6 linked regions of the Oryctolagus cuniculus genome follow. The main gene of each other region encodes a partner of the protein of the gene in region 6 in a complex. Links are inferred from orthologs where the notes say so. Each region holds a gene or a part of one and is shown on either strand. Other genes may lie near its edges. The genes, in order: POLR3D, POLR3K, POLR3C, CRCP, POLR3G and POLR3E.

What was found.
Region 1: POLR3E (region 6) and POLR3D share a complex: the UniProt entries of both Homo sapiens proteins name them as parts of the RNA polymerase III complex. The link is inferred for Oryctolagus cuniculus from reciprocal best matches to the Homo sapiens genes POLR3E and POLR3D.
Region 2: POLR3E (region 6) and POLR3K share a complex: the UniProt entries of both Homo sapiens proteins name them as parts of the RNA polymerase III complex. The link is inferred for Oryctolagus cuniculus from reciprocal best matches to the Homo sapiens genes POLR3E and POLR3K.
Region 3: POLR3E (region 6) and POLR3C share a complex: the UniProt entries of both Homo sapiens proteins name them as parts of the RNA polymerase III complex. The link is inferred for Oryctolagus cuniculus from reciprocal best matches to the Homo sapiens genes POLR3E and POLR3C.
Region 4: POLR3E (region 6) and CRCP share a complex: the UniProt entries of both Homo sapiens proteins name them as parts of the RNA polymerase III complex. The link is inferred for Oryctolagus cuniculus from reciprocal best matches to the Homo sapiens genes POLR3E and CRCP.
Region 5: POLR3E (region 6) and POLR3G share a complex: the UniProt entries of both Homo sapiens proteins name them as parts of the RNA polymerase III complex. The link is inferred for Oryctolagus cuniculus from reciprocal best matches to the Homo sapiens genes POLR3E and POLR3G.

What each region holds. Positions count from the first base shown.
Region 1 is NC_091439.1:1,079,066-1,084,400, forward strand, and holds the start of POLR3D (DNA-directed RNA polymerase III subunit RPC4), read right to left. Parts: upstream 3,197-5,335; 5' UTR 3,063-3,196; exon of another isoform or gene 3,021-3,062; intron 2,829-3,020; 5' UTR 2,824-2,828; coding exon 2,659-2,823; intron 1,535-2,658; coding exon 1,491-1,534; intron 157-1,490; coding exon 5-156; intron 1-4. UniProt on the Homo sapiens protein: DNA-dependent RNA polymerase catalyzes the transcription of DNA into RNA using the four ribonucleoside triphosphates as substrates.
Region 2 is NC_091450.1:34,576,572-34,580,527, forward strand, and holds the end of POLR3K (DNA-directed RNA polymerase III subunit RPC10), read left to right. Parts: intron 1-2,710; coding exon 2,711-2,838; downstream 2,839-3,956. UniProt on the Homo sapiens protein: Core component of RNA polymerase III (Pol III) which synthesizes small non-coding RNAs using the four ribonucleoside triphosphates as substrates. Can mediate Pol I proofreading of the nascent RNA transcript.
Region 3 is NC_091438.1:49,062,142-49,067,715, forward strand, and holds the start of POLR3C (DNA-directed RNA polymerase III subunit RPC3), read right to left. Parts: upstream 3,700-5,574; 5' UTR 3,560-3,699; intron 2,420-3,559; coding exon of another isoform or gene 2,318-2,419; exon of another isoform or gene 2,148-2,317; intron 2,128-2,147; exon of another isoform or gene 1,795-2,127; intron 814-1,794; 5' UTR 794-813; coding exon 647-793; intron 1-646. Other genes in the region: E3 ubiquitin-protein ligase RNF115, read left to right, coding at 2,318-2,419. UniProt on the Homo sapiens protein: DNA-dependent RNA polymerase catalyzes the transcription of DNA into RNA using the four ribonucleoside triphosphates as substrates.
Region 4 is NC_091450.1:66,192,307-66,197,884, forward strand, and holds the start of CRCP (DNA-directed RNA polymerase III subunit RPC9), read left to right. Parts: upstream 1-2,168; 5' UTR 2,169-2,408; coding exon 2,409-2,416; intron 2,417-5,578. UniProt on the Homo sapiens protein: DNA-dependent RNA polymerase catalyzes the transcription of DNA into RNA using the four ribonucleoside triphosphates as substrates.
Region 5 is NC_091445.1:13,205,325-13,210,112, reverse strand, and holds part of POLR3G (DNA-directed RNA polymerase III subunit RPC7), read right to left. Parts: intron 3,901-4,788; 5' UTR 3,832-3,900; coding exon 3,715-3,831; intron 509-3,714; coding exon 379-508; intron 1-378. UniProt on the Homo sapiens protein: DNA-dependent RNA polymerase catalyzes the transcription of DNA into RNA using the four ribonucleoside triphosphates as substrates.
Region 6 is NC_091450.1:17,076,290-17,081,077, reverse strand, and holds part of POLR3E (DNA-directed RNA polymerase III subunit RPC5), read left to right. Parts: intron 1-1,916; coding exon 1,917-1,994; intron 1,995-2,669; coding exon 2,670-2,785; intron 2,786-3,151; coding exon 3,152-3,234; intron 3,235-4,788. UniProt on the Homo sapiens protein: DNA-dependent RNA polymerase catalyzes the transcription of DNA into RNA using the four ribonucleoside triphosphates as substrates.

The sequences.
Region 1 (5,335 bases), on a different chromosome or scaffold from region 6:
GTACCTTTCTTCTTCATCATCTCAGCGGGGCCTTGCTCAAAGATGGAGTGGGACTGGATGACTTCCGGGCGGCCCCGGCCCCGCCCATGCCACTCCCGCTGCCGCTCTCGGTCCCTCTCCCGCTTCTCCTTCTTCACTGTGACCTCCTCCTTGGGCCTGCAAGAGACGGGGGATGCTGGGGACCACTTGGCCTGCCTTTGCCACGCCACTCCGCCAACCGAGCAGAGTTTGTGGAGCCCCACTCGGAGGCCAGCACCCGTCTCGCTGCCCGGATGAGGCCTTTCACTTTGCTGGGCTCTACCTGCTCGCCCAAAAACTTTTTTTTTTTTTTTTTTTTTTTGGCACTGACTGAAAGCAGCAAGGCTGTAATACAAACGAACGTCAAGGCAAGCGTGGTCACATCTGTCTGACCTCCTTCCTGCCACGGGCTATTCTGATAGTTACAACATCATTCTCAGGCCATACACAGTCATCAACTTACATTAGCTGCCCGGAGAGTTAACTGAATTGGGAGTTCTGCCCACGGCTGCCTTGGCAGGGTCACACCAGATTTCGTGGGCCACAGATGTCCTGCAAGCCGGACACTCCTCACCCCAAATTTAAACTGTTGCCTTTCAACTCTGGCTGCAAGATAGCATCACTCTGTTTCACTGCAAACTAGTCCAATCACAATTTCTAGAGATGCAGCATTGGGGATCTGTATTTTTTGAAGGCCTGCACTTTAAGAATCACCTGGCATCCTACATGGGCGCCAGTTTGAGTCCCAGCTGCTCCTCTTCCAATCCAGCTCCCTGCTATTGTTGGGAAAGCAGTAGAAGATGGCCCAGGTACTTGCGTCCCTGTACCCACATGGGAGACCCGGAAGAAGCTCTTGGCTTCCGCCCGACCCAACACTGGCCACTGAGGCCATTTAGAGGGAAATGAACTAGCGGATGGAAGACCCACCCCCACCCCCCTCTCTGTAACTCTGCCTTTCAAATAAATCAATCTTTAAAAAAAAAAATCATTTGCAAGCCAGGGTTAACAATCACCAGTGCAAGGCCGGTGCTGTGGCACAGCGGGTTAACACCTGGCCTGAAGTGCCAGCATCCCTTATGGGCACCAGTTCTAGCCCCAGCTGCTCCACTTCCCATCCAGCTCTCTGCTATGGCCTGGAATGGCAGTGGAGGATGGCCCAAGTCCTTGGGTGCTTGCACCTGTGTGGGAGACCTGGAAGAAGCTCCTGGCTCCTGGCACGGATCAGCGCAGTTCCGGCCGTTGCAGCCAAACTGGGGAGTGAACCATCGGATGGAAGACCTCTCTCTCTCTCTCTGCCTCTCCTCTCTCTGTGTAACTCTTTCAAGTAAAATAAATGAATCTTAAAAAAAAAAAAATCACCAGTGCAAAGAATGGACACACAAATTTTTACACTTCTGAGCCATAAGCTAGTTACTTCCCCCACAGCCCCAGCCTGTGCAAAGAAACAAGGGGCAAGTATTCAGGCTACTTACTCTTCCTTGATCTTCCGGCTGATGATATTTGGGGTGAAAGTTTTCTGAAAGCAAAATGCAAGAGTCACTGACTTGATCCGTTCTGACCCCCCAAAGGGCATCTCCTGGGGACCAAGCCCACCCTGAGGCCCTCTGCACACACTGCGCTGTCATCACACCTTCACACAGACACACAGCTGCCTGGCGAGGAGAGCCATCCTGCCACGGCGGCAGCACAGTCACACGGGCAGCAGGGAACCCGACACCATCCTAACTAGCAGCTTCTGCCCTCTGAGAGCCCCACCAGCACCTCCAAATGCAAAGAAACCTGTCTGATGTCTCTCATCTCCAGTCTGCTACGGGGGCCAATCAGTACCACAGGCACACAGCTCTCGCTCAAGGCCCAGGCAGGGAACACAGATCTGCCAGCACTCACAGAGGACATGGTTAGACTGGCACCAGACTGGCCCGAGACACAGGTAAATCTTTCAAAACTGGCTGCTGTCTGCTCTGTCTCATTCCCTGTCACCCCCAACCCTCTGAGAGCTCCTCACAGCCACAGTCACGTGGAAAAGGGCACCGGGCCCCAATGCCATGCCCAGAATCTACCAGAGGATTCTGGGACCCTCTCAAAACTGACAGCGGCGTTTGTGCTTGTCTGGCTATCTTAGGGTTCTTAAAGGGGGCTCCAAACAAACACTAAGGGGTCAGCGGGTCAGTGTTGTGGTGCAGTGGGTTAAGCCTCTGCCTGGAATGCCAGCATCACACTGGGGCGCCAGCTCGGGTCCTGGCTGCTCCACTTCCCATCCAGCTCCCTCTGACGCACCTGGGAAGCCAGAAGATGGCCAGACGCAGTTCCTGGCTCCTGACTTCAGCCTGGAACAGTCCGGACCATCGGGGCCATTTGGGGAGTGAGCCAGCAGGTGCATGCCAGCACTCTTTCAAATACACAGAGCATTTTCTACAACACACACGCACGCACAATGAAAGTAAACCCTGCTCTTTGGAACGTCTGGAACCAGGCGCGATCCTCTGAAAACCACCTCAACAGCTCGTGGCCAGCACCCAGACTTGACTGAGCCCCAACACCACGCCCAGCACACAGCAAGCCACACAGGGGCATCTGCTGAATCTGGGAGCCTGGAGTGCCAAACAGCTGAGTGTCCTGAGAAACGCGCCGGGCGGGTACCTTCTTGACTCCCCCGAGAGTGAGGTCCCTGGAGCGGATGGAGGGAAGGCGGCCCGGCGTGGGAGGGGGCGCAGGCCGCCGCCCGATGAGCCCCCGGGCCCCTGAGAGCAGGGGCCGGGGGGTGCCCGGAGCGCCGGGCTCGCCCGCGGCGCTTCCTTCCGACATGCTGCCTGAGAGAGAGAACGGGCGCCCGGTCACCGGCGGAGACGGACCCGCGAACCCGGGGCGGAACCGCACTCACGTGGCGGGCCGCTCCCCCTGCAACCCGCCCCCGACGCGTCCCTCGGGCTGCGTCTCGGCTCCTCCCCCTCCCACGTGGCGAGGCGCCCCGGACCACCCCGGCCGGAGCCCTTAGCTCTAACCTGCCCTCCCAGCCCCCCGCCAGGCCCGAGGCAGGAACGCACACGCCGCTGGGGCTCCGCAACCGCGCGTCCCCACTTCACAGCCGACGCCACTCGCCGCCGACCCCTAGTCTCCGCGCCGGGCGGAAGTCTGCGTGGCAGCGCCTGGGCGCCGCCATCTTGCCGCGGGGCGGAAGTGACGATTGGGGGCGGGGCTAGGCCACAGTATTTATGAGGCGGCGTCTCGCTGCCCTCCGCCTTCTCTTCCCGGTTCTTCCCGGAGTCGGGAAAAGCTGGGTTGAGAGGGCGAAAAAGCTGGGGTGAGGGGGGCCGGTCCGGGCTACGTTACGGGGCGGCGTTTGTGGGTCGTGGCCTCGGGCCAGGGGTGGGGGCGCCGAGCTCCAGGCAGCGCCTTGGCGACCCCCACCCCACGGGGCAGTGGGGACGGGGGCGGAATTCGCCGCGACTTAGCCGCTCGGAGCAGTGGGGTCGCGCGTCGGGGTGGAGTGCGGGGCCCGGCTGCAGCCCCGGGCAGCCCCGGCTGCGGGCGCTGTGTGGTGACCTTGGGGCGGTCACTGCCGCGGGGCAGCGGCGGGGCGTCCGGGGTGGGCTCAGGGGCGTCTCCGGAGCGGCTGCCCCGTCCCCCGTTCTGGGCTCAGGGTCGCCCGGGTCCTGGAGAGAAGACGGAAACCGAGTCTGCTCTGCCGCGGGAGGGACGGATCCGATCAGCTTCTGTCGTGACTCTGGCCCTTGTGATTTGACGGGAAAAGTGTCCTTCGGGGATGGCCGGAGTTCTGGGGTCCTGCGCCCACGTGGGAGCCCTGCCTACGGCTCCTGGCTTCGGTTCCCATCCCAAATGACTGTAACACCCTGGGCTGGGCCAGGCAGAAGCAAGGAGCCTGGGCCTCGTGGGATGCTGGTATCACAGGCAGCAGCCTGGAATTTTTTTTTTTTTTTTTTTTTTTTTTTTTTTTTTTTTTTGTAAGGCAGAGTTAGAGAAATCTTCCATCCGCTGGTTCACTTGCCAATTGGCCACAAAGCTGGGATCTCCCACGTGGGTGCAGGGGCCCAAGGATTTGGGCCATCTTCTACCACTTTCCCAGGCACATTAGCAGGGAGCTGGATCACAAGTGGAGCAGCTGGGACTTGAACTGGCGCCCACTGCAGGCAGCGCCTTTACCCACTGGGCCAGAATGCCAGCCCAGGGACTGGATCTTGATTTACCTGTTTCCCTGTTTGGACATTTGGATTTTTTTTTTTTTTAAGCAACATACATAGTGAACATATGGTGTGTTAAACTTTTTTCTTCTTTTGAATTATTCCCCTGGGAGAGATTTCCACTTCGGATAACAAGCAGAAAGATGTACATTTCTTTCTTTCTTTTTTTTTTTTTAAGACATTTATTTATTTGAAAGAGTTAATACAGAGAGAGAAGGAGAGAGAGAGATGTCTTCCATCCATTGGTTCACCCCCACAGTTGGCCGCCATGGCCAGGGCTGAGCTGATCCGAAGCCAGGAGCCAGGATTTTGTTCCAGGTCTCCCACATGGGTGCAGGGGCTCAAGGACTTGGGCCATCTTCTACTGCTTTCCCAGGCCATAGCAGAGAGTTGGATCGGAAGTGGAGCAGCCAGGACTTGAACTGGTGTGCATATGGGATGCCGGCACAGCAGGTGGCGGTTTTACCCACTACGCCACAGCGCCGGCCCGGAAGATGTACATTTCTTAAAAGTAAACTTTATCTTGAGATCATTGTAGATACAAGTGCAGTCCTAAGAAACAATGCAGGAAGATCCTAAGTTGTGTGCACCTTCTAGACTAATAACATCTTGCAAAACTCTACTATAATGTTACAGCCAGAATGCTGTGTCTGGCGCAGTTAACATGTAAGGCATCCGCCAGCGCCGCGGCTCACTAGGCTAATCCTCCGCCTGCGGCACCGGCACACCGGGGTTCTAGTCCCGGTCAGGCACCGGATTCTGTCCCAGTTGCTCCTCTTCCAGGCCAGCTCTCTGCTGTGGCCCGGGAGTGCAGTGGAGGATGGCCCAAGTGCTTGGGCCCTGCACCCACATGGAAGACCAGGGAAGCACCTGGCTCCTGGCTTCGGATCAGTGCGGTGCGCCGGCCGCAGCAGCCATCAGAGGATGAACCAATGGCAAAGGAAGACCTTTCTCTCTGTCTCTCTCTCTCACTGTCCACTCTGCCTGTCAAAAAAATGCAAAAAAAAAAAAAAAAAAAAAAAAAAACCATGTAAGGCATCTTCCTCAGCACAAGGACCCTGCTACTTGCCCTTTTATATCCACGCCTCCGCATCCCCTCCCCGCACCCCTCATCTGTT
Region 2 (3,956 bases), about 18 Mb from region 6:
GGCAGAGGCAGAGAGAGAGTCTTTGATCTGCTGGTTCACTCCCCATTGGCCACAACAGCTGGAGCTGAGCCAGTGTGAAGCCAGGAGCCAGGAGCCAGGAGCTTCTTCTGAGTGTCCCACGAGGGTGCAGGGGCCCAAGGACTTGGGCCATCTTCCACTGCTTTGCCAGGCCACAGCAGAGAGCTGGATCGGAAGTGGAGCAGCCGGGACTCACACTGGCGCCCACATGGGATGCCGGCGCCCAGGCAGAGGCTCTGCCCGCTGTGCCCCAGCGCCGGCCCCTCTGCGACTCTGAGCCCGCCAGAGTCTCCCGTAATGCGCTGGTCATGAAAACGCAGCAGGCTTGTCAGGAAGCTCGTGTGGAATCGTTACATTTCACTGAAAATACTGAGAGCTGGCGCTGTGGTGTGGCGGGTTAGGCCGCCGCCCGCGACTGGCATCCTGTGTTGGGGCGTCAACCAGCACTGGGCTGATGTGCCTGGCAGCGTCCTTGGGCCCTGCTGCCCGTGCAGGACGTATCTGGCGCTCTGGGCTCCCGGGTGGGACCTGACCGGCTCCTGCTCTTGCCGTCTGGAGAGTGAAGCGCAGAAGGAAGGTCTCGGCCTTCTGCTTGTTAACTGAGATTTCACTGGTGTTGAGAATCAACGCAGACATTTTCATTTTTACACAGTTCTTAACATGCAAGGCAGAATCTAGGAAGCCTGAATTTTCGTTCTGTTTTCAAAAGTCACTCCAGTCATTTCCAGCTTCAAATTTGGAGGCAGCTCTTCCCATCAAGCACCAGCATCTTCAAGCGTTGATGTGACATAAATCCCGCCCTTTACAGGGTAACATCCTGTATGTGACAGACTCAAAAACGTGAACTAAACCACTAGGGAAAGTGGACCCCCACAGCCAGAGATTGACAGAGCACACGTGGTCTGACAGCAACGCCGGGTGGTTTTCTGTCAGGACAGATGAAATGCACCTTTGCCGTTTAGTATGTGTTGTAGGATATAAAAGCCACCCCCACCTGTGGAGTGTCAAGCTGACGGCCACGACAGCCGAAGCCTCCCATGATGGACTGTGTTGTCTGTCTGTCTGTCTGTATTATTATAATGCTACTATTTTCTGGTTGTATCAAAAAACAAACAACCAGCAAGTGATTTCACCTCTTAAAAATTATTTACACTTGGCCAGTGCCGCGGCTCACTAGGCTAATCCTCCACCTAGCGGCACCGGCACACCAGGTTCTAGTCCCGGTTGGGGCGCCGGATTCTGTCCCGGTTGCCCTTCTTCCAGGCCAGCTCTCTGCTGTGGCCCGGGAGTGCAGTGGAGGATGGCCCAGGTGCTTGGGCCCTGCACCCCATGGGAGACCAGGAGAAGCACCTGGCTCCTGCCTTCAGATAGGCGCGGTGCACCGCTGGCCGCGGCGGCCATGGGAGGGTGAACCAGTGGCAAAAGGAAGACCTTTCTCTCTGTCTCTCTCTCTCACTGTCCACTCTGCCTGTCAAAAAAAAAAAAAAAAAAAGTTTCTAGAGCTACTGAAAAACGTGCATTTAAACAGTAGTTGGTAAATTATTCCTGTGGATTGCACGAGAAGGGAGACAGGCGTCTGATATTAACCAGGGCGTCTGATATTAATCAGACTTGGCTTCTTTCTCTTCCTTCATCAGAGGTCACTCTGCCTTTCAAATAGATCCGTAAATCTTTTAGAAACTATGCATGGACTGGAAACTGTTAGTTTCATTTTCTATGAGCTCTTTGAAATTCTCTTACACAGGCTTTTCAGTACTTACTTCAAAGCTGTTTGAGCCTCTCCCCATTACTCAGTCTCCAGCAGTTTGTTACAGCAGCACCAACCGTGGAGATAGCCCCCTTCCAAGTTACTTCTCTAATCAGTCTCCAGCCAGATGGGAGAGACGCAGGGTCCCAGGACGGGAGGAGTGTTTCACAGGGCACAGGTTCACCTGTCCCTTCAGTGTTCGAGCTTGGTGGGAGTGGAGCCTCTGTTGGTAGTGTCCTTAGTGATCTTACGAAGTGTCCCTCACCAGCATCGTTTTTGTGAAGATTTATCTGTTTGGGGTCAGCGCTGTGGCCCAGCAGGTTAAGCTGCCCCTGCAGCACCAGCTTCCCAGATGGGCGCCGGTTCAAGTTCAGTTGCTTCACTTCGCTTCCAGCTCCCTGCAAATGACCTGAGAAAAGCTGCGGGTGATGGCACAGGTCCTTGGGCCCCTGCTCCCACTTGGGAGACCCAGATGAAGCTCCTGGCTTTGGCCTGGCCCAGCCCTGTCTGTTGTAGCCATTTGGGGATGAACCAACAGGTGGACGTCTGTCTCTCCTTTTCTCTCTAACTCTTTCAAATAAACAAATAACTCTTTTTTAAAGATAAGATTTATTTGGAAGGCAAGATGACAGGGTAGGAGAGAAGGAGACCCTCCAACTGCTGGTTAATTCCCCAGATGTCTGTGATGGCCAAGGCTGGCCAGGCTGAGGCCAGTGCCTGGGTCTCCTGCACAGGTGGCAGTGCCCAGGTACTTGGGCCGTCCTCTGCTGCTCTTGCCCTGCACTAGCAGGGAGCTGGATCCGGAGTGGAGCATCCGGGACTCTAACCAGCGCCCACATAGGATGCCAGTGTCGCAGGCGGTGGCCCCCCACTGTGCCGCCATGCTGGCCCCACCAGCGTCATTTTATGTAATGTGGTTCCCTGGTTGGTTTTTCTCCTTTGCAGAGCCGTGTCCCAAGTGCGAACATCCTCGTGCTTACTTCATGCAGCTTCAGACGCGCTCTGCAGACGAGCCCATGACCACCTTCTACAAGTGCTGCAGCCCCCAGTGCGGGCACCGCTGGAGGGACTAGGGCTGCGCTGGCCCAGCTGTGCCGGTCCCCAGGGTGGACTCCTGGCAAGGAATGTGAGCTGTGTGTCCTAGGGTCTTCGCTGGTGTGGCAGAGAGCGAGCCCTCCTGAGGGCAGGGCCAGGGTGCCAGGAACATCGTCCGTCGGTGGATGAAGTCATCGGGGGCCAGAGAGTCCTCGTGGGCGAAGAGGAGACCCTCACTGTGTGCTCTGCTCGGGGGAGGAGACCCTCGCTGTGCACTGCTCAGGGGAGGAGACCCTCGCTGTCTTCTCTCTGCTGGGGGGAGACCCTCGCTGTGCGCTCTGCTGGGGGGGGGACCCTCGCTGTGTGCTCTGCTGGGGGGAGACCCTCACTGTGCGCTCTGCTGGGGGGGAGGAGACCCTCCTGTGCGCTGCTGGGGGGGAGGAGACCCTCGCTGTCTTCTCTCTGCTGGGGGGAGACCCTCGCTCTGTTCTCTCTGCTGGGGGGTGATGAGACCCTCGCTCTGTTCTCTCTGCTGAGGGGAGGAGACCCTCGCTGTCTTCTCTCTGCTCCAGGAGGAGACCCTTGCTGCTCTGCTCGGGGAGACCCTCACTCTGTTCTCTCTGCTCGGGGGAGACCCTCACTCTGTTCTCTCTGCTCGGGGGAGACCCTCGGTGGGAGCTCTGCTTCAGGTTCACTCTGCTCCTCTTCCAGAGCCCTTCAGTATTTATACTGTCTGCACAGCTCAACCCATGGCATGCCCCTGCATATGTAACTGCTAACTGCAAGCTTATTTAACCACAATTTATTTGGAATCTTGTACAAAAAGGAAAAGTCTGATAATGCCTTCCCTTCCTAGCAAACCTTCAAGTTCAGTGACTTCAAACTGACTGCTCTATCTGGGATTAAACAGCACGAAATGTGACAGCCTGACCTTCCGCTTCTTTATCCTTTCTGTTCTTACTCCTTGTTTTCCTTTTTGAGCCTTCCTCAGTTTGCTTCCTAAGGTTGCAATAAATGTATTAGGTTCTTTATACTTCTTGTGTTAATCTTTTTTTTTAGAAAAATATTTACTTATTTATTTGAAAGGGTGACAGACAAGGGTTGGCGTGGAGGAGAGAGATTGTCATCTGCTAGTTCACTTCCCAAATGTGAGCCA
Region 3 (5,574 bases), on a different chromosome or scaffold from region 6:
CAGGTGCAGGGGCCCAAGCACTTGGGCCATCTTCTACTGCTTTTCCAGGCCATAGCAGAGAGCTGGCCTGGAAGAAGAGCAGCTGGGACTCAAATTGGAGCCCATATGGGATGCTGGTGCCACAGGCAGAGGATTAACCTACTGCGCCACAGCACTGGCCTCAAGATTTATTTATTTATTTTATTTGAAAGAGTTACAGAGAGGCAGAGAGAGAGAGGTTTTCCATTTGCTAGGTGGTCCAAACAGCTGGAGCTGGACCAGAGCCAGGAACTTCTTCCAGGTCTCCTACACGAGTGCAGGGGCCCAAGGACTTGGGCCTTCTACTGCTTTCCCAGGCCATAGAAGGCAGCTGGATTGGAAGAGGAGCAGCTGGGGCTAGAACCAGCACCCATATGGGATGCTGGTGCCACAGGCAGAGGATTAACCTACTGTGCCACAGCACCAGCTCCAAGATTTGTTTAAGAAGCCTTGATGAATTAGGAACACTTTGAGAAACAAAACCCTGGGACCTAAGTTTCATCCTCTTTCCCCTCAAGCAACACTGTTCTGATCCTAGGGCAGGCTTTCTGCCTTCATTTTCTAGGGTAGGGAGGAACACCATTCAAAGGCAGGTGAAAGAGAGCAAATTAATGTCACCTAAACATACCTGATCCGGTGATGTTCCCGTGTCATGGACAATTACTCTTAGCGGCTGGCTGCCAGTTCTGATTAGGTGGACTCCAATTTTTTCTACAATCTCTCCAAAATGCTCTTGCAGTAGCAAAGAACAGAGTTTAATTTCAGCTTGAGTCATTGTCCTGGGGAGTCTCAGAGCTAGGAAAAACAAAAATATATAATATAGTTTCCTTTTCATGTTTGGAGTAGAACTGCTTATTATAAATTTATGTATCTTTTCTGGGAAACACTGGGACAATACACATCAAAAGTCTTAAAGTCTTGCATAACAATTTCACTTTGGACATTATGTTCCAAAGACATAATTAAAAGATGTCACTATTTTCCTTATAATGCTGATACACTGGAAAAAACCTACTGTCTTATAAATTATGCCATGCCCATACAAAGGAATATTCTTCCAATATATAAAATTATTTAGAACAATATATATTAGAAAAATGTTCATATTACATGACGGAAGCAGTTGCAAAGGAAAATGTAGAGTAATTCTTGTTAGTTTTTTTTTTAAACTATGCATAGGAAAAAGACTGAAAGACTATACATCAACTTTATGGGATTACGAGTCACCGTGTTTTTCTGAAAAGACTGCGTATTGATCTTGCAGTCTGTCACAGACCCTAGATTCTACACTTCATTGTGGAAGCATTAAAGTCACTGTCACAGCCCACTGAGAGTGAACAGGCAGCGCCATTCCCAGTCCATAAAGGAAAAGACAACTGAGAAAAAGAAATCGGGAGATAAAGGAGAGCTTCTACACAGCGTGTTCAGCACAGGAGATGAAGTTACATTGTGGGTAGGGCAGAATTTAATTCTGACAAAGGCGACACAAACAGAAACGGACGCAGTTGGCTTTATGATTTCTTTCTTACCACTGCTGCTACCACTGTTCATTTATTTCTCCCAACTCCTTGGAAGCCACGTCTTTGTGCCCCGGCCTCAGGATCACCCGAGACCTAGTTCACCCATTCACTTGCCCTGACTCTGCGCCAGCCCTGGACGGGATTTACAAGACGCTTGGCTCCCGCTCCTGCACTCCCTTCACGCAGGCTCCCCTTCCGGTCCTGGTCTCTCTGTTCAGATCCAAGCCCGCTGGTTCAGACAGCATTTTCCACTAACCTCAGGGTCAACCAAGCCAGGGGCTGCAAACCAAACGCCGCCGAGGTCCCCACGTCGGCTTCCTGCGGCACCCGCGAGCCGCCAGGGCAGAGGGGGAGCCCACGGCCCTCTCTCGGAAGAGGATGGCCGCAGGGGCAGGACGCCGAGAGGGCGAAAAACGTGCGCCGCTCTACCCCAGAGTGTCGGTGGTTTCCGGGACGCTCTTTCTCTCTCTTCTCGCTGGAAGGTCGGAGGACCGGCCGGGGGCTGTCTGAGCAGCCGGCGGGCGGGCGGGCCGCGGGGTGCGGACGCGCCTTCCTGCGCTCTTCCGTGCCGGGGGCGGGCCGCGGGTTCGCCGTCCGCGCCGCCGCCTCGCTGGGCCCGGCGGGCTCACGTGACCGAGGCGGGCTGTGCTGTGGAGCGGCGGGCCGCGCTGAGGCGGTGGTGGCGGTGGCGGCTGCGGCGGCGACCGCAGCCCGGGACGTAGCGGCCTGGTGAGGGACAGACCGCTCGCCCTGTCGGACAGCCGCGGCGGAGGAGAAAAATGGCGGAGGCTTCGGCGGCCGGTGCGGACGCGGGCGCCGCCGTAGCCGCGCACCGGTTTTTCTGCCACTTTTGCAAGGGCGAGGTCAGCCCCAAACTACCGGTAAGAGCCCCGTTTCCTTTGCGTCTGGCTCCTGCTTAGATGCCTGGCCCCGATGTCCCGGAATTGGGTCTTAAGCCTCTCGTATCCACCTGACTCCCCTGACATCGGTCACCCGAGTACCTGCCGTCCACTGTCCCCGGTGCCTGGCCCCTACCCTGCAGCGTCACGGCCCTGGCTCCCTTCTTCCAGCCCAGCCCTTGTTCCCGGCTAGACTGCTTCACCTGCCCCTCGCTGCCTCTCTGCGCTTGGCCTGTGTCCCCTCCATCTTTTTGTCTTGCTCAGCAAGTTCTCCTCTGACAACTTTCCCCTGAATCTTCTCGCCCTCTTCACCTTGTCCGCTCCTCGCCGTGACCTCCCCTCCCCCAGTACTCTTTCCTCTGCTGCTCCTCGCCTTCCTCCGATTCCCTTTCCCACTTTTCGCCAGATCTTCCCGCTTCCCCCGCCTCGCTGGAGAAACATAGCGGATTGCTGAGGCTTGTCCCTGTTCGGTGGTCTCTAGGGACGAGCCAGGGGTGGGAGGTAACTGGGGAGAGGGGGTTTTGCCCTTCTCCTGGGGTTCATGTGAAAGTGAAAACAGCGGTGTCCTGATGACTTGCAGAGTGCCCGGCGCTCCTCTGACTGTCGGAGGCGAGGGCTTTGGGAAGCAGGCAGGAAGCTGTTGGAACTTAGTTTATGTGGGTTGTCCGCTTGCGGGTGTCTTCAGTGCCGCCTCCCTTACCGACCACCCCCCACCCCCGTCACTCAAGAAGAAGATCCAGGACAGATGTTGGGGACCGCTTCCTCTTACATCAGATTGGTGGTTTGTTTTTTTTTTTTAAACCAGTTTCTGCCAGACTGTCTCTTAGCCCCTAGAGAGGTAGTGCTGTGGTATGTAAAGAAAACACTTCCACCAGCGCCTGGGGCCCCAAACCCAGAAGCTGCTTTGGGTTGGGTTTTAGCTCCTGTGGGGAGCCCCAGCAGGGTGAATGTTAATCCTACCTTTGGCTGGCTGTCTTTAAATAATTAGTCTTTAGACAGTGGCTGCAGAACAGCTTCCCTGTGTATTACAGTGTCTCATGCAGTCTAGAAGCCCCACTGAAGTGTGTGTCCCCATCTCTTATTTCTTAGAAACACAATGGAGTCCAGTGAGTCAACACTTACCGGGTATTTGAGAGCCTTTTCACCTGACAAGTTGTGTTTTGATGGCATTTTCTGGTTTCTCTATTTGCTCCCACTGCACGATCATAGTTTCATCTCAGTGCTCCTGGCTTTGCCTGCTGATTTTGGTGTGTGTTTATGTGCGTTTTGGCATATTTCACCGTTGGGAAGAGCAGGTGCCTTGTGCTTTTCCAACAGACATCAGAGCCTCCAGAATTCTCTAACTACAGAGAGGCAGTTTGGAACGCAGCCCTGGTGTGTGTGACTGGCGACAGGTCGCTGACTGCGCCCTTTGCTCTTCGGATCTTTAAGTCGCTGTTCATTATTTTGCCTTCAAGAGGGAGAAGACTTGGTTTCAGTTTCCACAACTTATTATCTTTTTTTTCCCTTATCATCTAAAGTCCTAACTTCAAAGGGATAATATGAAAGGTTTTATAGATGTTTTTCTTATTCTTAGCTGCCTGGAGAAGTTCTTGGGGTTTTTAGTCTGATTTATTATTTGTTGTGCGTGAATTGTAAATTGAGACACAGTTGAATGTGCTTCCTACTCATGTGCAGTGTTTTCTGCTGGATGTCCTGGGTGACATGGGAGAATATGTAGTTTTTTAAATAATGTTTGTCCTGCTGTTTATCAGGTTTATGATTGCAGACTAGTGCCATGCTCTTTTATTTATTTGAAAGGTAGAGTTACAGAGAGAGGAGAGACAGAGGTAGAGAGAGGGGTCTTCCATCCACTGGTTCATGCCCCAGATGGCTGCAATGACCAGGGCTGGCCCAGGCCAAAGCCAGGAGCTAGGAGCTTCTTCTGTGTCTCCCACGAGGGGAGGGTCCCAGGGCTTTGGGCCATCTTCAGCTGCTTTCCCAGGCACATTAGCAGAGAGCTGATTGGAAGTTCAGCAGCCAGGTCTCAAACAGGGGCCTATATGGATTGTCAGCACTGCAGGCTGCAGCTTAGCCCACTGTGCCATAGCACTAGCCCCAGAATATGTAGTTCTTGCCCTTAAGGATCTCACAGTTTCTTTGGGAAGACAAGGCAGACATGGAAAAAGGTAACAATGTAGTCATGTATTCCCCTAATCTACAGGAATATGTTCCAAGAAACAAGAACTGTACTATCAGGCGATTTTTGTTTTTGTGTGAACATCAGAGTATATACTTAACCAACTAAGACCACTGTGTCACTAGGTGGTACGATAATGGAGCCACCATTGCATATATGATCCACTGTTGACTAAAACGTTGTTACATGGAGCATGACTGTAAAGTGGATGAGGATGCACTTTAGAATTCAGAGAGGCGGCTGGCATTGTGGTGCAGCAGGTTAAGCCACCGCCTGCCCCAGCACACAGTTCAAGACCCTTCTGCACCTCTTCTTAGGAGGCTTCCTGATAATGTGTCTGGGAAGACAGTGGAAGATGTTCCAAGTGCTTGGTTCCCAGCCACCCATGAAGGAGATCAGGATGGAAGTTTTAGCTTCAGCCTGGCCCTTCGCTGGCTATTGCAGCCATGTTGGGAGTAAACCAGCAGATGGAAGATTTCTCTTTCTCCATTTCTTCCTCTGTCACTCTGCCTTTGAAATAAATAAATTTAAAAAAATCAGGCGTATGGTGGTGTTGGTGTGGGTAGGGAAGGTATGACAGACAAGGTGGGATTTAAATTGAATTTTGAAGGGTAGGTGGAATTCAGATTGAGAATACCAGAGACTGGGAGGTGGAAAAAGGAAGAACAAGTTGAGGAAGAAGGGAAAAACATTTAGTAAATTGTTGGTTTTTTAAATTGACAAGTGAAATACTTTGCATACATATATTGCATTGTAGAATGGCTAAATCAAACTAACATGGATTACCTCACAAGCATCATTTTTTGGGGATGAGAGCTCTTCAAATCTGTCTTTGCAATATTAAAATGTACAATATATTGTTATTAATTGTAGTCATCACGTACAGTAGTGACTCATTGTTCTGCGCTTTTGGGAAAAGGCTCAGCGAGGTCAGGATTGTGTGAGTCAGTGAGTTTCA
Region 4 (5,578 bases), about 49 Mb from region 6:
TTGCAGCTTCCTGGCTTTGGCCTGGCCCAGCCCTGGCCATTGTGGCCATTTGGGCAGATGGAAGATCTTTTCCTCTTTGCCTCTCTCTAAAACTATGCCTTTCAAATAAATAAATGTTTTAAGAAAATGCATTTTTCGGAACTGGTGTTGTGTACAGTGGGTTAAGCTGCAGCTTGTGATGCCAGCATCCCATATGGGCACCAGTTAGACTCTAGGCTGCCCTACTTCTGAACTAGCTTCCTACTATTTCACTTGGGTAAGCAGGGGAAGATGGCCTAAGTACCTGGGCCCCTGCCACCCATGTGGGAGACCTGGATGGAGTTCCAGGCTTCTGGCTTTGGCCCAGCCCAGGCCTGGCCACTGTGGCCATTTTGGAGTGAACTAGTGGATGGAAGATCAATCTCTCTGTGTCTCTGTAACTCTGCCTTTCAAAGAAATACATCTTTGAAAAAAGAAAGAAAAAAAAAAAGAAAGTGATGGAGGAGAATGGATCACAGGCTGGCTAACTGCAAAGCTTGCACTGTTAATATCACGGAATAACATAGTGCTTAGCAAAAGCCTTGCAAAAAGAATGAACTTAGTAAATGATAACTGATATGCTGTCAAAATGTATATTTTAAAAAAACAGAAAAGTAGCAACTGACTTACCATCCTGCTGTTGTTCATATTCTGCCATATTGCCTTCCAGTCTTTAAAAAACACTTCAAACATATCAACATATAGAGAAGGCAAAAGACATCAACCTTCCCAGTTGTTTTTAACACATAAATGGCTATACCTCCCAATACCTTTAGGTAATTTTTTCCTATATGATTTTTTTTAGGTCACGCCACATCAACTTGCATCTTTTAAGTAGCCTTTTTTTTTTTTTTTCAAAGATTTTACTGATTTATTTGAGAGGTAGAGTTACAGAGAGGGAGAGACATAGAGAGAGGTCTTCCATTTGCTGGTTCACTTCCCAGATGGCCACAAAGACTGGAGCTGAGCCTATCCAAAGCCAGGAGTTTCTTCAAGGTTTCCTATATCAGTGCGGGGGCCCAAGCACTTGGGCCATCTTCTACTGCTTCCCCAGGCCATAGCAGGGAGCTGGATTGGAAGTGAAGCAGCTGGGACACTGACTGGCACCACAGGGAATACTGGTGCTGCGGTGGAGGCTGAGCTCACAGTGCCAGCTCCTAAATATCCTATCCTGAAAATGTTTTTATTTTGTAATATTTCAAAGAATACAGAGGAGTATAGCGTTCACTGAGCATACATATATTTATTTTTTAACACTTTTCCATATTCGTTTCATTTAACACTTTTCCATATTCACTTCATTTGTAAATATACTTCATATTTTTTGAAATCAGGGGTGGATATATTAATATAACATGGGATTCATGACAAAGATCATAAAATGAAGAAATAAGGCTGCATTATTGTGTAGGGATATAAATCGTGAAGACAACATTTATAAATATACACCAAATAATATGGCATCCACATTTTTACTATACACACATGCGTATATATTCCACATATGAGCGAAAACATGTATTTGTCTTTCTGTGGCTTGACTTTGCATAATGCTAATTCCTTTCATTTTGTTTCAAATGTCAGTACTCCATGCTTTCTTATGGCTGAGTAATATTCCATTTTGTGTTTATCCACTTTGCATGCCTACATACATGGCTGAAGCATGATCAATTCTCCATTGTTGGGCATTTTGGCTATTTCCAAGCAAAAAAAAATCCCATCCTGCGCATCTTTCCTCAAGAAAGATAATGTACTTTGGGCAAACTCCGAGAAAAGCCCCAGCCCCAGGGCTCAGACACAGCCTGTTCAGGTTAAGGTTATTTATTCTTTTTTTTTAAGATTTATTTATTTGAAAGGCAGAGTTACAGAGAGGGGAAGGCAGAGAAAGAGGTCTTCCATCAGCTGGCTCACTCCCCAAACGGCCACAAGGGCCAGAGCTAGGCCACTCTGAAGCCAGGAGCCAAGAGCTTCATCTGGGTCTCCCTCACGGGTGCGGGGGCCCAAGCACTCGGCCATCTTCCAGTGCTTTCCCAGGCCATAGCAGAGCTGGATCCGAAGAAGAGCACAGCTCCTCTTGGCCCCCGCCCTGGGATTTTTTTAACACTGCAAAGGCCTACAAAAACGACCACGCCTTCGGAAGCTTAACTCGTGAAAACACTTTGCTTAAGTCCCGTCCGCAGACGCTAGACAGCCCGCTCGGCCAGGCGAGCGGCGCCCGGCCGCGAGAACCTCCCGGCTCCACCACGATCCCGGCGTGCAGCGCGGCGATCCCAGCGTGCACCGCGGAGGCCCGCGACCGCCGCGAGTGCTGTGTAGGTTAGGGGAGCTGCGGCGGCGCCGCGGCTGGCTCCTTATCTGCAGGCTGCTGGGGCCGAGGGCGCGAGGACGACATGGAAGTGTAAGCTTTGGGTCTGGGTGCACGGCTGGAGACGGTTAGACCGCTGGGAGCCGAGAGCTGTTAGAGACAGGGTTGAGGGCGCGGCGACTCCGGCTCAGCGGCGACTCCGGCTCAGCGGCGACGGCCGGGTCTTGGGAGTGGAGGACCGAGGAAGACGGGGGTTCTCGCTCTGCCGCGCTGAACCTCCGCTCCCGGTGTCTGGGGCGCCCGGCCCAGTGAGACTCGGTCGGCTGGCTTTCAGTGGGCCTCCTCCCTCCCTCATTCATTTACTGGCCTTTCCTGGGTCCCAGTGGCAGCGCGACCTGGTTTCCGAGCGGGGACTTGGAAAGCATAAAGCCCTTGAGAGATGGCTGCGGGTTGGAACAGAGCTGTGCTTGGGGGTAGGGGGCTCCTGAGAAACCCTCACAAAGAGGTGGCATCTGAGTTTGCTGAGGAGCTATCGGCCCTTTAGGGGAGGGGGCGGGGCTTCTGGGAGAAGGAATTGTATCTGGACTGGATCAGAAGCAGTACGAGGCGGGTGTGTGCACGGTATAAGCAAGGAGTAAAAGTTCCAGCAATTTAACGCCACGTGATCTTTTCCATGTTTCCTCATCGTACCGAGTACAGATAGAAACTTTTGCTTCTACTCTGCATGTGGCTTTTTACATGATTGGTGTAAACTTGTAGGCATGTCTATATTGTGTTTTCTGTGGCACCGATGAAAACATTTTCCTTTAGGTTAAATTTTTGCTTCGTGGTTAGTGATTTATGAACTGGTGGTTTTCAGACCTTTTTTTTTTTTAAAATAAAGAATTATTTATTTATTTGAAAGGCAGAGAGGCGGGGAGAGGGAGGGGAAGGGGGATAGGTGTCTTCCATCCGCTGGTTCACTCCCCAAATGGCTGCAATGGCTGGAGCTGGCCCAATTGGAAACCAGGAGCCAGGAGCTTCTTCTGGGTCTCCCATGTGGTTGCAGGGGCCCAAGGACTTGGGCCATCTTCTACTGCTTTCCCAGGCCATAGCAGAGAGCTGGATCAGAAGTGAAGAAACCGGTACCCATGTGGGATGCCAGCACTGCAGGTGGAAGGTAAACGTTCTAGACACAGTGCTGGTCCCCAGACTTTTTTTTTTTTTTACTTTAACTTCACTATTTACATATAAAACGGAAATGACAGGTACATACTTTTTTTTTTTTTTTGATAGGCAGAGTGGACAGTGAGAGAGAGAGACAGAGAGAAAGGTCTTCCTTTTCCGTTGGTTCACCCCCCAATGGCCGCTGCAGCCGGCGTGCTGCGGCCGGTGCACCGCACTGATCCAAAGCCAGGAACCAGGTGCTTCTCCTGGTCTCCCATGCGGGTGCAGGGCCCAAGGACTTGGGCCATCCTCCGCTGCACTCCCGGGCCACAGCAGGGAGCTGGACAGGAAGAGCACCGACTGGGACAGAATCCGGTACCCCAACCGGGACTAGAACCCGGGGTGCTGGCGCCGCAAGTGGAGGATTAGCCTGCTGAGCCGCGGTGCTGGCCTAGGTACATACTTTTTTTAAAAAAAGATTTATTTATTTACTTGGATGTCAGAGTTACACAGAGAGGAGAGGCAGAGAGAAAGAGAGGTTGTCCATCCACTGGTCCACTCCCCAGTTGGCCGCAACAGCCGGAGCTGTGCCAATCCGAAGACAGGAGCCAGGAGCTTCTTCTGGATCTTGCACACGAGTGCAGGGGCCCAAAGACTTGGGCCTCCTATTGCTTTCCCAGGCCATAGCAGAGAGCTGGATTGGAAGTGGAGTAGCCGGGACTCGAACTGGTGTCCATATGGGATGCCAGCACTGCAGGCGGTGGCTTTACCTGTTATGCCACTGTGTTGGCCCCAGGTCCATATTTTAAGTTATTCAGTTTACTCTGCTGTTGTCTAGTTTACTAAAAGTTGACCCACTAAATTAAGTTTGCAAGCAACCCACTAATGGGGTTTAGCCTGCAACATGAAATCATTCATAAATTAATATAAGCCATCATCATTAATTTTCCCACGTTACCAGAGTATTTCCTATCAGTATACAGGCCAGTTCAACCTATACATTGTATTGGTCAGCTTTTTATGAAATACCTGAGGCAATTAATTTTATAAAGAGAGAAGGATTCTTTAGTTCACAGTCCAAGATGGGGTAGATCTCATTGGTTCAGTGTCTGGTGATGGCGTTCATGTTGGCAGAATCCTCAAATCATATTGCAAGAGACAGGGAATGGGCATGTTTATGTGGTCTCTTTAATAATGGAGGTTGAAATCTAATGACCCAATTTGATCCGTTGCCAAAGGCTCTGCCTTCAAATATCATAACTGGATTAAGTTTCTACTCTCTTAGTGCCATTAACATAAGACTTTGGGCACCAGATATTTAACAGGTGGGCCTTTGGGAGACACTGAGCACTCAAATTAATACCCATAGCGTACATCTTGTAACAATCCCTCGTCCTCACCTATTTCTATTTCACCTATTCTTGCCCACCTATTGCCCAACACTTCTGCTTCCCCTCACAGCAAAACTTCTTGAAAATTGTTATATCTCCTAATTCACTTGGCCTGCTGTTGGACTCATCCTTATTGCAGAAATGGCTCTTGTGAAGATTACTTGAGCCTCTGTCTTATCGAATCCAAAACTGATTTTCTGGCCTCAGCTTTCTTGATCCCTCAGCATCAATTGATAGAGAAATGCTAGAACTCCTGGCCTTGTGTCAGGCTCTCCTGGATTGTCTTCTACAGCAAGGACCTCCCAGTGTCCTTCCCTGGCTGCCCTTCCTCCCTTGTTTGGCATCTAAATGTTTCTTAGTCCTGGGAGGCTTTCTCTCTATTTTCTCTCACTTGGTCATTTTAATCATCTATAACTTGATTGTTCCCTGAAATACATTTCTGATCCCCTTTTCCCATTTTTCCTGTTACTTAAAGCACAAACCTAGCCCCTTTTCCATACCCATAACCATCAGCCAGTCCTGTCATCTCTACATTTCAAACATTTTAAATATAGGGTTACTTTTCACCAGCTCCACTGTTAACTCTAGTCTGTCATCTCTGGTCTGGATTAAGTAAATAGCTGTTTGGCTCTCACTGCTTTGTCTATGTAGCAACCAGAGTGAGCTTAAATATTAATTGGATCGGGTCACCTGCTGTGTAAAACCCTTCATTGGCTTT
Region 5 (4,788 bases), on a different chromosome or scaffold from region 6:
GGCCTGGGAAAGCAGTAGAAAATGGCCCAAGGTCTTGGGCCCCTGTACCCATATGGGAGACCTGGAAGAAACTCCTGGCTCCAGATTGGTGCAGCTCTGGCCATGTGGCCGGTTGGGGAGTGAACCAGCAGATAGAAGACTTCTCTCTCCCTTCTTCCCTCCCTCCCTCTCTAACTCTGCCTCTCAGATAAAATAAATAAATCTTAAAAAACCCAAAATCCTTATTTTTCTTCTGTTAAGCCCCATAAACACGGTTTTTTCAGGGTAGTTGTTAAATTCTGAATAAACTGAGTGAGCATGAAATGAGAACACATCCTGTGCTTACCCACTGGTCCATGTATTTACATTAAATTCACATGATCAGAGTCCAATACACACCTTGCTTCTCTTCGGGCGGCTCAATGAAATAAGGCATCCTTTTCATTGTTTCTCTCAGCTCCTGTTTCAAGGCCAGCATGTAATCTTCACCTTCCCCTGTTTTCAGTGGCACTGGCTTATAATCTGTATCCTATTAAGAGACAAAGAATGTTTTAATGCCCCATGTTGTTTATTTTCTAGAAAATATCAGTTTTACTGAAAAACCATGTTTTACTGGGCACTAAGCTCTACGATCAATTCACAAGGTGCTGACCTGCTCTGATCTACCTTAACCTTTCAGCCCACTTCCCATCTTGCCCTTCTTTTCGAGGTGGGAAAGAGACCAACACTCGTTCTGCTGTGTAGTCTGCTGATGAATGTGACCTCATGTTGCAAAACACAAGGCACCTGGGGCCGGCACAGGGTACAGCAGGTTAAGCCCCCCCTTTGGCCCTCTCATGCTAGGTCGGAGTGCGTGGATACACTCCCACCTCCACTTCACTTCCTGGTAATGAACCTGGGAGGCAGCAGATGATGTCCCAAATACGTGGGTTCCTGCACCCAAGAAGACCCTGACAGAGTTCCTGGCTCTTGGCTTTGACCTAGCCCAGCTCTGGTTGTTGCAGGTATTTGAAGCGTGAACCAACAGATGGAATCACACTGTCAATCTCTCTCTCTCTCTCTCTGTTTCACTTTCTCTCTGCTACTCTGCCTTACAAAGAAAATTTTAAAAATTAATTAATTAAAAAATAAAAATCAAGGCACCCAAATGAGAGCAACTGCTTTAGTTACTATCAACCTCAACTAGCAGTGGTGACTGGCAGGAGCAATAGCACAAAAATATAATGATAACAGCAGCTATCATTTAGCAAGAGATTACTCAGGCCAGGAAGAACTAAGTAGTCAACATCCATTATCAACACTATCACCAGTATTTTATCTTTTATGGTAAAGACATTGAGAGGAGAAGGAGCAGTAAGCCCATATAAAGAGTAGATACCAGAGCAGAAGTTGGAAGCTACACTTTAGTGTTTTCAAATTATACACACATATGCCCATAAAGTCCCTAAAGGATCACACAAAGGCTTTAATGATGTGACTTTTCTTTTTTAGATTGGGTATTTTTTTTTTTTAACGGGCAGAGTGGACAGTGAGAGAGAGAGACAGAGAGAAAGGTCTTCCTTTGCCATTGGTTCACCCTCCAACGGCCGCCGTGGCCAGTGCACTGCGCCTATCTGAAGGCAGGAGCCGGGCGCTTCTCCTGGTCTCCCATGGGGTGCAGGGCCCAAGGACTTGGCCATCCTCCACTGCACTCCCTGGCCACAGCAGAGAGCTGGCCTGGAAGAGGGGCAACCGGGACAGAATCCGGCACCCCGACCGGGACTAGATGTGGGGAGCAACTGGGAGCAACTCGGACTAGACTAAGTTACTGGAATTAAGACTTATTCTATGCATCTGCTCTCCCACAATATGGCGCTGGGAGAGGAGGAAACAGCTTCTACTCAGCTGCCTCCAGTTCAACCAATAAACAGCAGGACCTGCTCCTGATTGGAGGAGAGCAGCGTACTCGGCGTGTGGGTAGCAGAGTTGGGATTGGTGGAAGAGGACTATAAAGGAGGAGAGAGACAACATGCACCAGGAACATCTGAGGGAACACCTGTGCAGCCCCCGAGAGAGCCGGCCGGCGGTGTGCCGCTCCCCCGTGGAAGTGGGGAAAGTGGCAGGGGGCCCGCCCCTCCACGGAGGTGGAAGGGATGGTAGCCAACCCGGGAAGAACCAGCAGCAAACCCGGGGAGGGCCGAGCAGACAAAAGAACAGCGCAGGGTCCTGTGTCGTTCCTCCATGAAGAGGGGGAGCGACATAATGGTGCCGTGACTCGGATATGAAGCCTAGGCAGGGTTTAGTGTCGTTCCTCCACGAAGAGGGGGAGCGACAACTAGAACCCGGTGTGCCGGCGCCGCAAGGCAGAGGATTAGCCTACTGAGCCACGGCACCGGCCTTAGATTGGGTATGTGTTTTAATAACAGCCATGTTCGATTAAGTAACTCTGCCCCATAATCTAGAGGAAAAATTAATTTTAAAAGGACTGAAATGGGCCTGGCATTGTGGCACAGCATATAAACTGCCACTTAGGACACTGGAGCACAAGCCCCAGCTGCTCCACTTCTAATCCAGCTGCCTGCTAATGCACCTTGGAAAGCAGCAGATGATGGCTCAGGTGCCTGGACCTTGCCACCCAGGTAGGAGTTCCTGGCAGCTGGCTTTGGCTCAGCTACGAGCATTGCAGCCACTTGGGAGTAAACCAGCAGGTGGAAGATCTCTCTCTCTCTGTTTCTCCCTCTCTCTCTGCCACTATGTCTTTCAAACAAACAAACAAAAAAAATCCTTAAAAACAAAATATGCTGAAGTACACTCTGCAATGATTCTTTCCTAACGAGTATTCACATAACAGAATGATTACTTATCAGTCAATGTGGCTTTACATTTTTAAGGATCAGTGAAATGAAGTTGGCTATAATAGCAACTGATAGAGTCACGGTCAGAGCTGGCCCGTCTCTGCAGGGTAAGCATGTAAGCCCAAGTCACACTGAAGCAGAGGCCTAGATAAGATCAGGAAGCCATCCATGCACAGACTGGAGAACAGACGGCCCCAGACTGGGCGGCAACAGGGGCAAAGGCCTGAGGGAACCAGGAGGCAGCGCAGCTGGGAACAGAGAGGGGCAGCGGGAGCAAAAATTACGGAGATGTCAGAAAGGCATCGGTTTGGGCGCCGGTTTGAGTCCTGGCTGCTCCACTTCTGATTCAATTCCCTGCTAATGCAACTGGGAAAGCAGTGGAGAATGGCCCATGTGCTTGGGCCCCTGTGTGCGAGATCTGGAAGAAGCTCCCGGGTCCTGGCTTTGGGCTGGCCCAACCCAGGCCACTGCGGCCACATGGGGATTGAACTAGTGTATGGAAGAGAGCTCTCCCTCTCTCCCTCTCTCTCTCCCTTTCAAATTAAAAACAAAAATTCATTCTTGGTTGATATATTCTATGTGTTTTCAAGGAAAGGTGTATACAGTTTTTGTTTTCTGTTTTAAGAAAGTGGCCTGAACATCAGAAAATGTCCAGGGAAGAATGGTGGAAATATTTAAATTAAAGGTAAGTGAAATTTGGGGAATGAGCCAGTGGATGCAAGACCTCTCCTGTAACTGCATATGCAACAAAATAAATCTTAAAAAAAAAAAAAGCTGTCTTTTACTTTCCTATGCTTTCAGACATCATCATGATACCACATATTCAAGTCCTATCTAGAATTCCAATTTTCTTAGCAACAGGATAAAGCAACACATGGGACTCAGCTGTCAGCGTACTTACGGGAAACACGGGGGGTGGCTTCAGCACCACGTCAGGCAGCTTCTCACCTCTGCTGAAGCCCACAGCCTCGATGTTAAAGGTGTAGGCAGCCCGCCCTCTTCCTTTGTTCCCCGCCATCAGGATGGGCTACGCCGCCAGGAGACTGAATTCTGAAAGATACCACCAGGGATGCAGGCAGGCTGGGTCCTAAGAGAAAGAAGCCATCACTGTAAAACAAAGCATGAAACTCTGCCGCTACAGAGCACGGCTGAGAGAAAACACTGTTGGAAAACTAAAACCTGGAAAGGAGTAAATGTGTGACGATGGCGTGAAGGTTTGGCAAGGAACAGCTGCAAGTGCTAAATGAGGGGGAAGCCGACCTCGTCCGCCTTCAACTTCAGGTCTCCTGCTGAACTCCCAAATCCTCCAAATCAAGATTACACTAGGATACGAAAGTACATTGGAAATCCACTGAAAGGTCCTTAAAACACATCTTTACTCTGGTGTAGCAAAATGTAGAAATCCACGCATAGTTTTTTTCAAAATATACATTTCTCATCAACTTTTTGCAGACGCCCCTCCCCTCACGTGCACAGCTTTCAAACACTTCTGGCACCAAAACAAGCTGCTCTTTTCATTCCGTTTTTCCATGACTTTCCCCAAGCTCCAGGTAGACGTGAACCTGCAGTGCAGTAACAGGAACCTGCAGGCTGGAGAACTCTGCTCTCAATCATGGTGGTGGTGAGTAGCGTGCACGGTCTTCACATCTCTTCCCGCTGAGGACAGGCTAAGACTGAACCCAGGGAGCCCAGGGGAACGAGCTTCTGCACCTGCACGCTGCGCAGGCAGACAGACGAGCGGCTCCGGCCGCAGCCGCCCAGCTCAGGCACTTACTTGCACAACACCTCACACAGCTGCTGTGCAGTTTCTTACCAAGACACAAGGGTCCTGAACACGTTTCCACTGAAGTTTGCCACCTTCAGGGTGAAGGACTACCTGCTAAGACCACTGAGGGGCTACTTCCGCACATCTTTTTGACTATCTGCAATTTGAATACAGTTTGGTCCCAAGGCCTGGGAAATCCCAGCTTCCTTT
Region 6 (4,788 bases):
GGATCAGAAGTGGAACAGCCGGGACACGGACCAGCCATCTGATGTGGGATGCCAGTATCTCAGGTGGCAGCTTAATCTGCTGCACCACAACACTGGCCCCTTAGAGAAAGGAGAGAGCACAAGAGAGCATACCCATCTACTGACTTACTCCCCAAACGTCTGCGATAGTTGGAACTCGGCCAGGCCAAAGCCTGGAACTTAATCTCTTTTTCCCACGTGGGTGACAGGGACCCAAGTACTTGAGCCACTGCTTGCTGCCCACCAGGTATGCATTTTCAGGAAGTTGGAATGGGGAGCAGAGCTAGGACTGAAACCCAGACACTCCAATGTGGGATGTGGGCGTCCCAAGTGGCCTCTTAACCACTGCTCCAAACGCCTGCTCCTTCTGTATAACTTGTGTGGACAGTGTGTTTTCATTCCTCTGAGTGTGTTCATAGGAGTGGAATTGCTGGGTCACATGTTATTTAATTTTTAAGAAACTACCTGACTTTTCTGTACCATTTTTATATTCCCCAATAATAAAGTGATTGTTTTAGACACTTCTATGCCCACGTTGTGCCTTAGAAAATGGGGCTCGGGGAGGCCTCTACTGAAGGGTCCTGGGACGAGGTGGCAGTGGCAGTGCCCCAGGCCTGGGGTCCATTCCCTGAGATTTACCTTTACATCCCATAGGACGGGGAGCCTGTCCTTTGGGCCTTTGGAACCTACATCCTTAACTGATTGCACAGTGATGTTCCTAATGACCCTGTGTGTATCTGTGGTGTGCCAGCCCTCTTCTTCATCTGCTCTTAGGGCAGCCCTGGGCAGTGAGGTGAGGCTACTCAGGGAGGTGAAGAGCTTGCCTGAGTACACGCGTGGCAAAGTTAGGACTGGAACCCAGGGCTGCTTCCAGACCTATGCTCTCTACCACCCTCCCAGCCTGACGTCATGATCTCTGAGCTGCCCCAGGCGTTGGCAGACCAGTGTCTCCAGGCTGTCCCAGTCAAGCCACGCTTCAGTGCTTTGCTCAAAGAGGCTGTGTTCCAGGCTGTTCTCCCATCACAGCTCCACTAGCTCCAGCCTGGGAGGCAGAGGAGACCCGGTATTGCTGTTTCAGTGAGCTTTTAGGAAATGACCCTTTCTTTGGGTTCTAGTGCAGCTGATCTGTAGTGGAGCTGACTTTCCACAGTGCCTCGCCTCCAGCAGGCTCATCCTGTGGCTGTCATGGTCCTAGGCAGTGAAGGGCAGACTTTTGAGACTGGGTTCAAATCACAGCTCGCTGTGGCACACTGGGATGAAGACAGGGACGGTGCATCCATGAGGTGGACGTAGGTGTGCAGTCTGTGAAAGTGGGGACCAGTAGGTGTGCAGTCTGTGAAAGTGGGGACCATTTGTGTAAAGGTGACCTTACACAAAGCGGGCAGGAGGCTCAGCTCTGCCCTTTCTAGTGTTTTACTGTGGGAAGGTTGCTGCATAGGCTGAGGGTCATGAGTTCCCATATGTCAGCATCCTGCTGCAGCAGTGAAGGACACTGGCCAGCGGCTTTCCCCTCTGCTTCCCTGTGGCCTCATTTCTCGCTGGATGGTACATCAACTTATCGTTTGATCTTGGACCCTTACTCTCAACCCTCACAGCCATGCGCTGTGGGCATTAAAGCCCACATGGTGACTGTTTGGGTTCCTGATGCTTATGCCTGTCCCTTGTAAGTCAAAGACATCTTAAAATTGCCATTTGGAAGGAGGCTCAGAGGAGCAGATGGGAATGGGACTGCAAGCAGATCCCACAGGGGAGCCTCACTGTGGGGCTTGTTGGGCCCTGGGTCTTCCGGTCTTTGCTTCATGGGCCTAGGGGTGGCTGTTGATTCTCGGCTGGAGCCCCAGGAGCCCTGCTCTGGTTGGGCTGGACAGGGTTGCTGACAGCTTCCTTTCCTCCCCCAGTATCCTGTACGTCCAGCCTCGATGACCTACGATGACATTCCGCACCTCTCGGCCAAGATCAAGCCCAAGCAGCAGAAGGTGGGGCTGCCGTGTGCTGAGCTGAGGGCAGGGAGGGCTGGTGGGAGAGGCAGAGAAGGAGCAGTGGAGTTAGGAGAACCAGCAGCTTGCAAAGGCTTGGAGGCTGAGGACGGGAAGTTTCCAGAAAGAAAGAGGGTAGGCAGCTCTAGGAAGGAAGGAGGGTCAAGATGACTTAGGGAATAGTCTCAGTGTAAGCTTGGGTACCTGGGCAGGTCTGGGTCTCACATAGTGAGGCCAGTCTAGTGCCTAAAAAGAAGTGAGATGATAGACAAGGAGACCTAAAGACACGCCCCAGCCCCCTGTGGTCCGTTGGAAGTGGTGTTTCAAGATTGCTAGTTCTGGGGACTTTCAAGAAAAGCTGGAGATGGGAATTTTAGGAGAAATCTCTTGATATTTTAAATTGTTGGCATCTAATTTAGATCTTTAGGAGTGAAGTGGGGAGACTGTGCAAGCACTGCCTAACCCACCTCCCACCTCTGCCCCCTCCCCCCAAAAAACCCTACTCTTAACATTTCTGATGGAATTGAGTTTATGGACTGAAGCCATAGGGCCCTTGGGGCAGGGACAGGTGTCAGCTCCACTTCTGGGCAGTGACTGTTAGGAGGTGGCCATGGTGGGGCTGGGGGAGTCCCTTGGGGGATCCTCATGGTTGGTGGGGATGCTTGATGCCTGCAGGTAGAGCTTGAGATGGCCATCGACACCCTGAATCCCAACTATTGCCGCAGCAAGGGGGAGCAGATCGCACTGAACGTGGACGGCGCTTGTGCTGATGAGACCAGCACATACTCCTCGTGAGTGCCCAGCCCTCGGAGCCCCTCTGGTCAGATGCAAACCTTCAGAAGGCCTTGCAGAAGTGACCCCTCCTGCCGGGAGCCTCCAGGGTTCCAGGCTCTCCCCTCCTGTGCTGGCTCGTCCCAGTGGGTTCTTCCTGGGCTGGGTGGGAAGCTGGCCCCTGGAGCTCCTGGCACTGCTTGTTTCTTGGTGCACAAACAAGACGATGTGGGTTTTCTCATCCCCCAGCTCCCCTCCTGAGGCAGATGGAGGCTGCTCTGTGGCCTTGGTCCCTGACTGGTGTCTGGGGAGGAGTGGGCTGTGCCTGCCAGGCCCTGACTCTGGAACCTCCTTCCCCTTGACGTCGGTTCTCCCTGTGCTCCCAGGAAACTGATGGACAAGCAGACATTCTGCTCTTCCCAGACCACCACTAACACGTCTCGTTACGCGGCTGCGCTCTATAGGCAAGGTACCCGGGGCTTGGGGGTCCTGGGGAGGGGGACCTTACCCAGCCAAGGGTCCAGCTCTGCCTCCTCCAAACACCAGACATTCTTGGGGACCAGGCGGTGTGAAAATAACAAATGGCAGCCGGGGGACCCTGGAAAGAACCACCTCCGTAGATGTTGCTTGACCTGTTTGGCTGGGCTCTACGCCATTGTCCTTGTGGGACACAGACCCTCCCACAGCACAGCCTGACTCTGAGTGTAAGTGGCAGGTGTGTGTTTCTAAAGTCAAGGGACTTATGACCCGGTGATTCTGTTCCTAGTTAGCATTTCCTTGAGGCAAGAAGAAGTGTCCACACCAGGAGGTAGATTGGCAGGATGGAGAGGGTGTTAGTGGCTTCCAGGGGCTGGTAGTAGAGTGAAGTGGGACTTGGTGGCTTCTTTTTGTGTTGACGAAGATGACTGTGGTGCTGCCTGAATATTGAGTTGTATGCTGTATTTGTTTGAAAGTCAGAGTTAGGGGCTGGTGCTGTGTGGTGTAGCAGGTAAAGCCACCACCTGCAATGCTGGCATCCCACATGGACACTGGTTTGAGCCCTGGGTGCTCTGCTTCTGATCCAGCACTCTGCTATAGCTTGGGAAAGCAGTGGAAGATGGCCCAAACCCTTTTACCCCTGCACCCTCATGGGAGACCTGGAAGAAGCTCCTGGCTAGTTTACTCTCAAGATGGCCCAGCCGGTGCTGGGCCAGGCTGAAGCCAAGAATCAGGAGCTTCTTCTGGGTCTGCCATGTGGGTGCAGGGCCCAAACACCTGGGCCATCTTCTGTGTTTCCGAGACCCGTGAGCAGGGAGCTGGATTGGAAGTGAAGCAGCCAGGATATGAAACGGTGCCATATGGGATGCCGGCAGCACAGGTGGCGGCTTTACTCGCTGTGCTGCAGTGCTGGCCCTGGAGTGCTTTAAATGAGTGAATTCCATGGTATGTGAGGCACAGTCAGACTGGGACAAAGTGTGAGGGGCTTACTAAGTGTTTTGAGCCTGTGAAGCAATACGCAAAGCTCATTGGAACACTCAGGGAACAAAAGAGAAGTTTCAAAAGTAGTGTTAGGAACTCCTCCCCAGGGCATGCTGTGAAGGATGTGGTCATGTCTCTTGTGGCCGGGACCCTTCATTCATGGACACCCTGATCGAGCATTCTGTTCACGCTGGGGTCCAGGAGGCTGCGAGCCCCTAGCGTCCGAGTGCTGCTCTTTAATGCCTGCACTGACTGAGTGTTCGTCCTGGCCCTGCCTCCCAGGGCACAGGTCTTATTCATGCTGAAGTCGTCATGATCTTCAGCAGGGACCTTGGACACCCCTCCAGGGACACACTGGCTGCTTCTCCAGCCACCTTGGCACTTGCAGACTTCTTAACAAGAGTGGCTGGGATTTTGATGGAAGTGGGTGGGGGCGAGGGTGAAGAGAGATGTGGGTTTGGGCAGGCAGGGAGGGTGGTCTAGCCAAGGTCTGCAGTGGAAAGAGCTGGTGTATCTGGGGCGTGTGAATGGGGTATGTGAGTTGTTCAGTGCGGTTGGAGCCAGC